2 linked regions of the Danio rerio genome follow. The protein of the gene in region 1 purifies or fractionates together with the protein of each later gene. This does not show direct contact. Links are inferred from orthologs where the notes say so. Each region holds a gene or a part of one and is shown on either strand. Other genes may lie near its edges.

Evidence for each region. Proteins that work in one complex are often made in the same cells at the same time.
Region 2: the proteins of med21 (region 1) and cdk19 purify together in Homo sapiens (affinity purification with mass spectrometry; 6 studies listed by BioGRID and IntAct, counting the BioPlex papers as one, with this or other methods). This does not show direct contact. The link is inferred for Danio rerio from reciprocal best matches to the Homo sapiens genes MED21 and CDK19.

The regions. Positions count from the first base shown.
Region 1 is NC_133179.1:2,081,649-2,087,645, reverse strand, and holds med21 (mediator of RNA polymerase II transcription subunit 21), read right to left. Parts: upstream 3,322-5,997; 5' UTR 3,277-3,321; coding exon 3,235-3,276; intron 2,622-3,234; coding exon 2,507-2,621; intron 2,421-2,506; coding exon 2,320-2,420; intron 1,748-2,319; coding exon 1,568-1,747; 3' UTR 1,253-1,567; downstream 1-1,252. UniProt on the Homo sapiens protein: Component of the Mediator complex, a coactivator involved in the regulated transcription of nearly all RNA polymerase II-dependent genes.
Region 2 is NC_133195.1:3,038,519-3,044,542, forward strand, and holds the start of cdk19 (cyclin-dependent kinase 19), read right to left. Parts: upstream 3,973-6,024; 5' UTR 3,845-3,972; coding exon 3,717-3,844; intron 1-3,716. Other genes in the region: amd1 (S-adenosylmethionine decarboxylase proenzyme), read left to right, coding at 5,058-5,167.

The DNA.
Region 1 (5,997 bases):
GCACGTTTGAACAGCACAGTGTTTACATTTAGAGTTTTTTGCAGTATTGTATGATGTTAAAATAGTTTATATTTTATTACTATTTATTTTATATTTCTATTGTTTATCTAGATGTTATATATTAAAGAAAATAATATATATAATAACATATATATATATATATATATATATATATATATATATACATACATACATACATATATACATATATATATATATATATATACATACATACATATATACATATATATATATATACACACACACATACATACATACATATATATACATATATATACACACACACACATATATATATATATATATACACACACACACACATATATATATATATACATACATACATCTATATATATATCTATCTATATATATATATATATATATATATATATATATACACACACACATACATACATACATATATACATATACACACACACATATACATATATATATATAGCTTAAAAATATTTACTATTTTCCCAAGTGTATATAACTACTACTGTAAGAAGATATCAGAGTTCGGTTCATACTTTCAGTATGTTGTTTATATAAAATGAGCCTGCTCCCTAGCAGGTTTGAGCTATCGGAACTGTTGCTATGACAACAATTTTCAGATCAGTTTTGAAGAATTAAACGATCCTTGATCATATCAAATCGTCAATAACCAAACCCAGCTAAACTGGAGTCATCCATGTGCGAATAACGGACCGCTAGCAACAACCAGTACAGCAAAGAAACAGCAACATGACAGCAACAGCAAGTTAGAAGGCTTAAAGAGAATGTCTGTTTCTAATGTATTGGAAGCAGATATTTACGTAGGAACAACACAACAACAAAATGAAGTGATGTTTAACACAATTTGCCGTCAGTTTAACAAGTCAACCACCTTTTATTAATAGATTTTGAACTGCAAAAAACCTGCACATTTTCCATACTGCTCTTTTTGTTTGCATAACACTTTGAATTTTGCTCATTATTTATTAAAGCATCTTTAAGTATTGAAATTCGAGATTCACAGACATTGTTTTTGACACATTATTTAAAATATGTGGCTAAAAATAGCTATCATCTTAGCTTTTTTTTCTCTTCTTTTTTTATTTTTGGTGGGGTCAGTAAAAAATTTGGCAGGGCAAGTAAAAATCTGAACCACTGGCCCGATCGGACCAGTAGAAAAAATCCATAGCGTTAAACCCTGAACAGGTCAAAGTTAAAAATAAAAACAAGCATGTCATACAATATATTTTTATTTGTTAAACATAACTTCTTTCAAAACAAGAGTATCAGCATAATGCTGGTGAGGGAAAAAAACAACATTTAATTTACAAAACATACCCAGAAGCTGACTATTAATGGTAGTAACACGCTGATGAACATTACACAAGGTAAAAAACAGAGGTCGCACAATAAAGACATGCGATGGGAAATCAGCTTTCTTTAGTCCAGAAACCGATGTGAAACAGTGAGTCTCCTGCAGTCGATGTAGGATGCGTATAAAATCCCTGCTGTGTCCCGACACTATAGTTCATGTTGTGGTTTTTTTCTGTCAGGATTCTGGAGGTGTTTGCTGACTCGGGGCTCCGCTGCGGGTGCGGAGCTGTGATTGGGCGATGTCTGCTAGTGCCGTCTGGATCTTCTCCAGCAGGGCGTCTCCTCTGTAAACCACTTCCTCCAGACGCGCTGCAGCTTCCTGGTTCTCCTCTTCCAGCTGTCGCAGACTGGCGGCCTAAGAAACGCATCAGAAATGACAACAAGTAGAGACGAGGTATAATGCTAATGTATTGTTGTTCACTCTGTACTTGGACAACATGGGTAGCACAGAGCCAGATGTGCAATATATGTGGCATGGGATGAGCAATTAACAGTAATCAAGTTTGTAATATGATTAATATCTAGCTAATTGGTCATTTGTGTATTATTGTCATGGTATATTTCAGTGTTTCTCAAATCCATTTCTGGGCTCCTACTGCTCTGTACATTCAGTGCAGCTTCTGGAGCTTTCTTCTAGCAAGATGATATTTATAATCAGGTCCATTATGTAGGCATAACTCAAAATGTGCAAAGCAGTGGCTCTCCAGAAATGGATATGAGATGCACAGGTTAAGCTGAGATTCATTTTTAATGCAACAATATAATTTACAGTTGATTTTCTTCTCTTTGAGTGCCAGAACTCAAAACCTGAAGTGCAGAACAACCATATTTTAAACAGCAGAAGGCTCAATAATTATATAATGATTCAATAATAATAATGTGGTGTTGGCCAGTGATACAGTGTGTGTGTGTATATAATAAATGTACCTGCAAGGCTGCAGTGGATTCTTCACTGGGCAGAGAGTCGATCAGCACATCAACATCTTTTGCTGTTCTTGCTATCAGCGCTGCAAACAGCTGAGCATATTCTAGAAAAAACACATCTTAGTATGTCAACTTCAAAACACATTATTTTCAAAGTGGATCACATTCAGATCAGTGCAGATGAGAGCACCTTCTGTGGGGTTTGAGGGCTGGTCTTTATTGATGGCCGTCTGGATGTTGCTGAAGGAGGCCGGTGGTGCGCACTGCTGCAGAACTCCAATCGCATTACAGAACTGATCCGCCAGCTGAAACACGACATGCAGTAAATCAGACATGCAGGACAATCCACTGTTACTTTCAGTTTACATGTTCTTTGACATGATGAGAAGTATTAGTACTCAGTGCTAAGATTGTGAATTATGTAATATATGAATAAACACAATTACATGTAATGTTTGATTAAACAACATTAATTTAAAACAATTTAAAAATAATTAATATTGCACTTTGAAGAACACAAAAAAAGAAATATTTAAGTGTACTTCACCAATATATAAGTAACAATAGCACTTACAGAAATGTATGTATATATTATATGTTATATTATAATTATATAACGGTGCCTTTTATATACACTTACTTAGATTATAATAGGACTATTATTTTCAGTTTCGTTTTATTTATAACAAGTAAAACATTTATTACAGTATCAAAACACATATGACAACAAACTTCACCTGTTCATTTGTTCACAAATTGCACGCTATGCTAACACTTCAGACGCTACAGTACATCAACATGACTTCTTAAGCAAATAATCCAATTTAATGAACCAGACTATTAAGTAAATCTGTTCGGAAGACATTTGCTGTGTTCTGCAGTTTCTGAAGTATAAAATAAACGTTAAATGAGTCTTACGGAGTTCACAGCATCCTGAAGCTGCGTTAGCCTGTCGGCCATGTTGGCTCCTCTTCACAGTTTCCGTTTCCGCCGAGCGCGTTCAATGCTACATCACGTGATACAGCGCAGCGTACAGCGAAAGCGCTCGTCTACTGAAAAGTTGTTGCATTTTCGCGCAAAGCAGGAGTGCTTGACACTTCCGGAGGCTGGATGTGAAGCTTCAACATGACTGCCGAATGTAAATGCTTCTGCTAAAGCGTGTTTATGGACTGGACTGATCCGGGAAAATGCCACTGAAGAGAGAATGTTTGGTTCTGCTCGTCTTGTCGTGGGTCGGTTCACTGCGCGCTCAGGATGAGAGTGAGTAACGTTAAACCCCTAATACCTTCTTTATTACGCTTGATAAAATATATAATCCCTATATAACGCACATATGTGGCAAATAACAGTTGTTTAAAGTGTGACTCAGCTCATTTAGCGACATATGAATCGAAATCAATCATGTCAACTATGTATTTCTAATCAATTAGTGATTGATATGATGTTGCAACTGATCTAAAGTTCACCGTTACGCTAAATAAACACAAACATCCCAAAATATCTTACTTATCACGCTTAATTAATTATATAATCCCTTTTAAACGCACACATGTGACAAATAATTCGTGTTTGTAGAGTGAATCAGCTGCCGACATATCAATCTGAAATAATAATCCTAAGAATGAAATGCTGATCAATTAGTGATCGATTCGTGTACTGATTTAAGGTCAATATATCAATCTGAAATAACCCTATTATTGTTACCACATAATAGCTAACATAGAGGTAACGTTGCTTTTATAGTCGCACATTCGTTTATTTAGCAGTCTCTGTATTGTTTACCATGTTAACGTTAACGTTACTTTGAATATTCGATAGACATTAGCAGGCAAGGATGACTTCAAAACAACATCGACAATGATTTCCCTATTTAGAATTTGTAAACATTACTTTTCTGAAATTACCTTATTGAGGAGAAAGTCTGAATATGTGAATATAAAACAGACTTTACCTCTATATAGCTAACTATTATTGTTCTAGTGTATTTGGGTTTTATGACTGCTTGTACTGTTTATAAACTGGACTACATTGATATTTATGAGGTGATGATTGCTGATAATGTAAATACACACACACACACACACACACACACACACACACACACACACACACACACACACACACACATACATACATACATGCATATATATGTGTGTGTGTGTATGTATATATGTGTTTGTGTGTGTGTGTGTGTATGTATATGTATATATATATATATATATATATGTATATATATATATATATATATATATATATATATATATTATAATTTAACACTTTAGTGAATCTTAGACAATGCATAAAATAATTAAATACATAAGTGACTGATTTATTTATTTGTTTAATTTTTCATACACAAGAAAGACATTCATTACGACTAATATAGTAAGAATATTAATCTCACACTTGGGAAGATAATAAGTTTACGGTAATCAGATGTATAAACTGAGCAAAAATATGCAATTTGGTGCTGATATAAACATTATTATACCCAAAACATTCAGAGGTCTGTCAGAGTACTTGCATAAAATGCATATAAATATTACTGTCACTCTATCGCAGAGTAATATGTCTAAATGCAATACTTTTTTTATTTTTTAAAAGCAATGCATTGTAATGATGAAGGAACAATTCTCAAAAATATATAAAATAGCAAATATCAAATTTGCTCAATTTACTTTTAATTATTTATTTTTATTAATATTTAAAGATATTCATCTATGTAAAGACACTGATCATGTTAATGATTTCTCGAATGTTTTTGTTTTAGCGAGTTTTTGATCTCTACTTCATTTGGGAAAATAAAAACATTATTTCTGAGAATTATTGTTTCTCAAAATTCATATTTGATACTCATATTTCAGCATTTATGGACATTTCAATGGTCAAGAAAAACAAAATTTAGTCTTTATTTTCATATTATAATATTGATATTCTTACATACAATTTTTATTTTTATTTTATAGAGATATATTTTAATATTATATAAGGTTTTACTTCTGATAAGTGATCTAAACCACAAGCTGAAATATTTGTGCAATTTAAATAAAATATATTTAACAAAAAAAAAAGCATAAACTATCAATCATGCGACACAGTGGCCTGTAGTAGATTGTGTGCAACAGGAAAGGTTTATTACTATTGTCATTTTTTAGACACTTGGAAACTAAGTATAAGTGTAATGCTTCACACCTCTGTCTGAATTTCCTGCTCGTCTTTCTGAAGCTGTTGTGGATTTAACACATTTTCAGTGTCTGTCAGTCATGATTTTGTGCCTCCTTAATAATGCTCTTTTATTTTGTAACAGTGGTGCGTTTTCATGCAGTTTTTCTCATTTAATTCCCCTCGTTCTTGCTTGCGCTGCACAGACAACAATGAAGCGCAGCAGCAATCCATCACATGCAATTTAGAAACTATTTCCTCATTCCTGAACAGACCCAGAGATTTTTTCTCGACTCAAAACAAACATTGTGTAGATTTTTAGTAACACTTTTAATTTAAATAAACGTGACCCTGAACTGTAAAACAAATCCTTAAATTAGCCGTTTTCCGTATTTTGTGATTCATGTTTTTATTTTCCCCCATTTATTTATGCTTTTGCATTGCATTATGGGATCCTGATCTTTCTTGATCAGTGTGTATTAACGTGTACATGTATCCATCTATCCGAGTATGTTTGTT
Region 2 (6,024 bases), on another chromosome or scaffold:
TATATATATATATATATATATATATATATATATATATATATATATATATATATATATATATATATATATTTATATATATATATATATATATATATATATATTTATATATATATTTATATTTATATATATATATACATACATATATATATATATATATATATATATATATATATATATATATATATACAAATATATATAATAAATAAATAAATAAAATATAAATAATATAAATATAATAATAAATATAATAATATATATTTATAAATATATATATATATATATATATATATATATATATATATATATATATATATATATATATATATATATATATATATATATATATATATATATATAAATATATATTTTTTTTTTTTGCTTTGCATCGCACCTCCTGCGATGTGACTATTGCGGATGCGCACATCGCAATTTCGATGCTGAAACGATGTATCGTGCTGTGTGCAGCCCTAATGACTATACCAAGTAGAATAATGTAATAAGAAAATATCAGTTTGCAACGTCAAACAGCAAAACAAGCTGTTTTTAATGTCTAAAAATTAATGGAAGTGAATGAGACCGGAAGTCTCGAGCCAAAAAGATTCAAATGGCTGCTTCCACTCGTCGGCGAAGAATAAAGTGAATAAAGTGGGTCTCAGATTGTACAAGAAGCACTGCACTAAATTACATTTTCCCCGACATTCTTTGAAAATATTAACATTTTCTTATTTTACCCCAGTGGTGCTTCTGCGCTAGCCTGCCGATCCTGACAGGCACGTGCGAGTAAAAGACTTTTTGTCTCGTTTTACACTTGAGCAACTAAATAAATGTCAAAGTCTGTTTAACTGATTGTATTTTAATTGCATTACAACATCCATGCTGTAAAAGGAACCGTATAAAATGGAAAAAAGTCACATTAACCGTTCACTGGAAGTTTATCAGTATGGGAAGAACACTAGCTCCGCATATACCCTAATTTGAAAATTGTGCAAACATAGCAGCATGGAAATAGGTGATGTGTCTCAATGGTAACCTGATGGTAATTAACTCCACTGATAAAAGACAAAGTGGCGAGGCAGTGGCGCAGTAGGTAGTGCTGTCGCCTCACAGCAAGAAGGTTGCTGGTTCGAACCTCGGCTCAGTTAGCGTTTCTGTGTGGAGTTTGCATGTTCTCCCTGCCTTCGCGTGGGTTTCCTCCGGGTGCTCCGGTTTCCCCCACAGTCCAAAGACATGTGGTACAGGTGAATTGGGTAGGCTAAATTGTCCGTAGTGTATGAGTGTGTGTGTGTGGATGTTTTCCAGAGATGGGTTGCGGCTGGAAGGGCATCCGCTGCATAAAAACTTGCTGGATAAGTTGGTGGTTCATTCCACTGTGGCAACCCTGGATTAATAAAGGGACTAAGCCGACAAGAAAATGAATGAATAAATGATAAAAGACAAAGTCTGACGCTTTCCTGAAAAAAATGCTTGCTGCAAACAAACAGCGTTGCTGTATCGGCCCGGACAGGATCAGGGGGGAAAACATGCAACAAACCCTGTGGGTCATGGAAACAAACATATACGACCTGTGTCTCACCTCTGTCATTGGGTTTCCCAGCTTGGCAGTTACTATTAGCTAAGCGTAAATCATTAAATTAGGCCTTGTCCATTTCGCCTCTTGCTTTCGTGACCGTCACCTAGCAACGGCTGTAAACAAAACAGCAGCTCGATGACGCAAGCGTACCGGGGTTCAGAAGGAAAAAACAGTGTGAACACAAACCAGCTTAAGGCTGTTTATACTTCTGCATCAAGCGCACGCGTATGCTACAGCACAGCCTACGCGCTGACGCATAGCCCAACGCCGTGGCCATCGCTGACACGCACCTCTCAAAAAATGGAACTACACATCGCAACGACATGTAGCGCAAGCTCTGGGATTGGTTAGCTTGGAATCGCTGACAAGTGTGGGCGGGACCGAGAGCTGTGCGAGGCCGATGAAGCGATTGTTTACAAGTGTGGAGTCCCGTGATGGAGCTCCGGATGAAAGGTTTTGCTTTGTGTTTACCTTCCCTAGTAGCAAAGAATTCTGGCCCAGATTTGGCATAAAGCTGGCACAGCAGGCATTCATCCGGCACTGGCATACAGCATGTGGGCCAAACATGGCCCGGGTTTGGCAGAGGCGGCACACAAGATTTGGGCCAGATGAAAAACGTAGTATTTGGCCCAGATTTAAAAATTTGATAAGTGGGCCATGTGAGTTTGGCCAGTTTTGACCCACATTTAAAATACACTAAAATCATTTTTTAGTAAAGAAAATAAATTCTACCAATCAGGTCACTTTGAGAAAAAGCGTGCCCATAGTGTGCCTAAAGCGCATCACTCCATGGGTTTATCAATTTCATTGCAATCGTGACACACCAACCTATCTGGCCCAGTTCAGGCCCAGTTATGAGTTATTAACTTGGCTGAGACTTGGCCCAGATATGGTCCGTGTTTGGCCCTTGTCTGGAAGCCAGATTTGGTCCAGTCATGTACCGTAATTCACTGCGGCATGTGGGCCAAGCAAAACCTGATTGTGTGGGCCACAGCTGGGCCAGAGAAACTTTGCTATGTGGGTTATGATTAAAGTTGTTGCATGTCCGCCGGTTCCTGCCTCAAAATAAGCGAGTTTGAGCGTTCAGAAAAAACAAAACGCCAGCGAATAAACTCAACACAGAGGAACATTAACACCTCATTGCCGACAAGCTTTTCGGAAGTGTTATTGCAGAACATCAGAAATAGCGCGCAGAAGTATGAATGCACGGCTACGCGCGTTGCATGCGCCGTGGGTCACGCCGATCACTTGACGCAGAAGTATAAACCAGGCTGTACTCTCGTACTTATCAGGGGTTGCAGCAGCGGAATGAACCACCACAGAAAATAATATCACACAGATATTTAAAAAATTGGAGATGCGGTGGCGCAGTAGGTTGTGCTACTTACTGCATCGCCACCACATTTTCATCTTTTCACAAAGAAACTTTAGTCCTGTTTCGAATCTGCTGCTATGCTTTAAATTTAAAGTGACAGTAACCAAAACAGCATGATTTGGATCAAAGCCTAAAAGGGTCCATTTCAGAGAGATATAAAACATTATCTGTGTGGTATTTTGAGCTGAAACTTCACACACACACTCTAGAGACATAAGAGACTTATTTTACATCTTGTGTAAAGTGTCATAAGAGGACCCCTTTATTGAGCACACATTGACTCCTGTATAAATAAGAGCACACACACACACACACACACTGCAAGCACGTGAACTCGATCACAGATGCTCCATAAACTCCAGCACGCAAGAGCTTGTGCACTTATGAAGAAGTGGGCAGCTGTTATACTGCGTAAATGAGTATGTCAACTCGTGCACAGGTGAGCCTCTGAATTCCAGCACATGTAAACATGACATCTTCTCATCCGAGCACACAAACTCACAGTGGACTTCAAACGCATGCAACTTCTGGACAGAGGAACTGATTTGCAGTGAACTCCTGCACACAAGAGTGAAACATGCATCACGCTGGCTGGTTTGGGGGTGGACCGTTTGAAGTGCGTCCATGAAAACAAAAACAATCACACACACACACACGCAGGCTACAGAAAACAGCGCAATTCCCCCGACACATATGAAGCTCCTGCACACCCAGAGACAGCAGAAGCGCGTGCAGTGAGTGAAACGCGTCAATCAAACGCGTGTCTCTTACCCGTCTTTACGCTTCGCTTTATAAACATGCCCGTATGTGCCGCGACCCACTTTACAACCTTCATATTCAAACAGATCTTCCACTCTCTCCCTCTCGGCGGCGAGCTTCGTTTTGAAGTCGTAGTCCATTTTAACCCATAAATATTTCTTAATTTACAAGAAAATAAAATATTAATTATTACATGCATTAATTAAATGATCCGATCGTTTTTATTACCCCACCATTTCCTTGTTTGGGATTTTGGTCGGCTCCGCTTAACGGTCACGTGCTCGGTGACGTATTTTATTGTGGCGGGTTGCATTGTGGGGAGCGTAGTGCCGTTTGATGGAGCGCCAGCTCGAGTTGACGGCGGCAGGACATCTGAAAAACTACAGCGAACAAATCCTCCTTTCGTCTTTCCACTCTGATTCAAAACTAACATTTCTGAACGTTAGCGCTTGGAGTGTTTGCACAATGGCAGAAAAAAAGCTTATAATAACTAAACATAATTAATAAAATGTGTGGAATACATAACCTAACAGTTTTTTTCTTTTTCAAAGAGAGTGCTAGATAAATGGGAGTCAATTATTTGTGCAGTGGCTCAGCGTTATTCACCTTATTCTCAGCTGACGAGCGGGCGCTGCCATTTGAATCTTTTTGTCTCGCGACTTCCGGTCACATTCACTTCCATTCATTTTTTGACGTTAACAACTGCACGTTACGCTGCTTGATGTTGCAATTTAATATTTTCTTATTATATTATGCTACTTGGTCTGTGTAGTCATGCAAACATTTGTTTGTTGAGCAAGTAGTTTGGCCATTTTCTGTCGTTTATTATTCCTAGTCATTTCTCCCATAGGCGACTGAATCGGAAGTTCTAAGACAATCGCGAAAACAGGCGCACTTCCGCATTTTAGAATAAGGTCAATAGCAACGCAAATGTTTGCTCATCTATACAAGGACACACACTCACACACGCGCTACTACAGCGTGAACTCATACTTTTACGCAACATCCCGCTTGACTGATATCCGTTCAACCAATCGCTGTAGACCTGAGGGTGGCTCCCTCGCCGCGATTGGCAACGACGAGAATGACGTCGTCGGGTAGGTAATAAAAGCTCCGCGCAGACTGCCGTTCTGCGCTTACACAGTATGGCCGGCGATATTAGCTAGCACTCGCCTACGGTATTCTCTGTAAAAGGGAAGACGGTAAATACAAACAAAAAAATAAGGCAACTACATCTGGACTGCTCAAGGACTGTAACTAAGCTATTAAGTTATAACCGCCAACGAAGGACTACATAATTTGTGATTCCATCCGACGGTTTATTTTCTGTTGTTGGAGTCTGTTTGTCTCACGATGGAAGAGAGCAGTGCACACTTCTTCGAGGGGACCGAGAAGCTCCTGGAGGTGTGGTTCTCCCGGCAGGACGAAGCCAAAGGAACCGGGGATCTGCGCACAATCCCTAGGTGAGTGAGTCCGTCCGAGCCGCGGGTGCCTCGGGCGGAGCGGGGCTGGATTTCACCGAGCCAGACGCTCCGTTTGGGGCTTAAATCGTGTGTGAAACGCTGTGATAATGTCAGGAGGTCTGGCGGAGTGACATGTGGCGCAGGCTCTGACACCCGTGGCGTGATCAGCACTTCTGGCCGTTTTTGACACCATCCCCCTTTAGACTCATTCATTTCAGCTGTCAGGACTGCAGCTCAACTCCAGCCCCAGCGAGCTGCCCATATTGGCAGTATTAGCTCGTTCACTGCGTGCTGTTAATCACTGCAGTGCACGCGCGTTGTAAATCATCAGCTCGTTATGATAAACAATCGTCACGCTGATGTCGTCCACTTTGTCTTTTCGGTGTGTCGTTCAACATGTGACTCCGGAGGCCGTTTGCATCTGTCAGCGAGTTTCTGGAGCGATGATTCTCCGAGTTTCAGCCCTGCTGCTGTCTGCTTCATTTATTGATGAGCTGTACAGAGAATGCTGATCGATTAGCCAGTGGCTAGCGCTAGCTGATATGGCGCCATAGCAAACACACCTCCTCGCCCTGCATCAGTGCTGCTGTCTAAAATGCTTTACTTATTCGATTAGTCCCCTGTAACTGCGCATGTTCTGTTTGTGTGTGTGTTCGCACAAAGCTGTGCATTTGGACAAGGGCCTGCTCTTTATCTGCAGTGCTGTATGTGCACACACGCGAGTATGAATGAGTGCAGGCTCTATTTTTGGGGAGTATCATGGCGGTTGATCCTGCGCCGCAGCTTCCATGTGAAAATCACGTGTATGCGTCACATGCCGTAAGCTCCGCCCCGCGCACGGTGATTGGTCGAGTGTC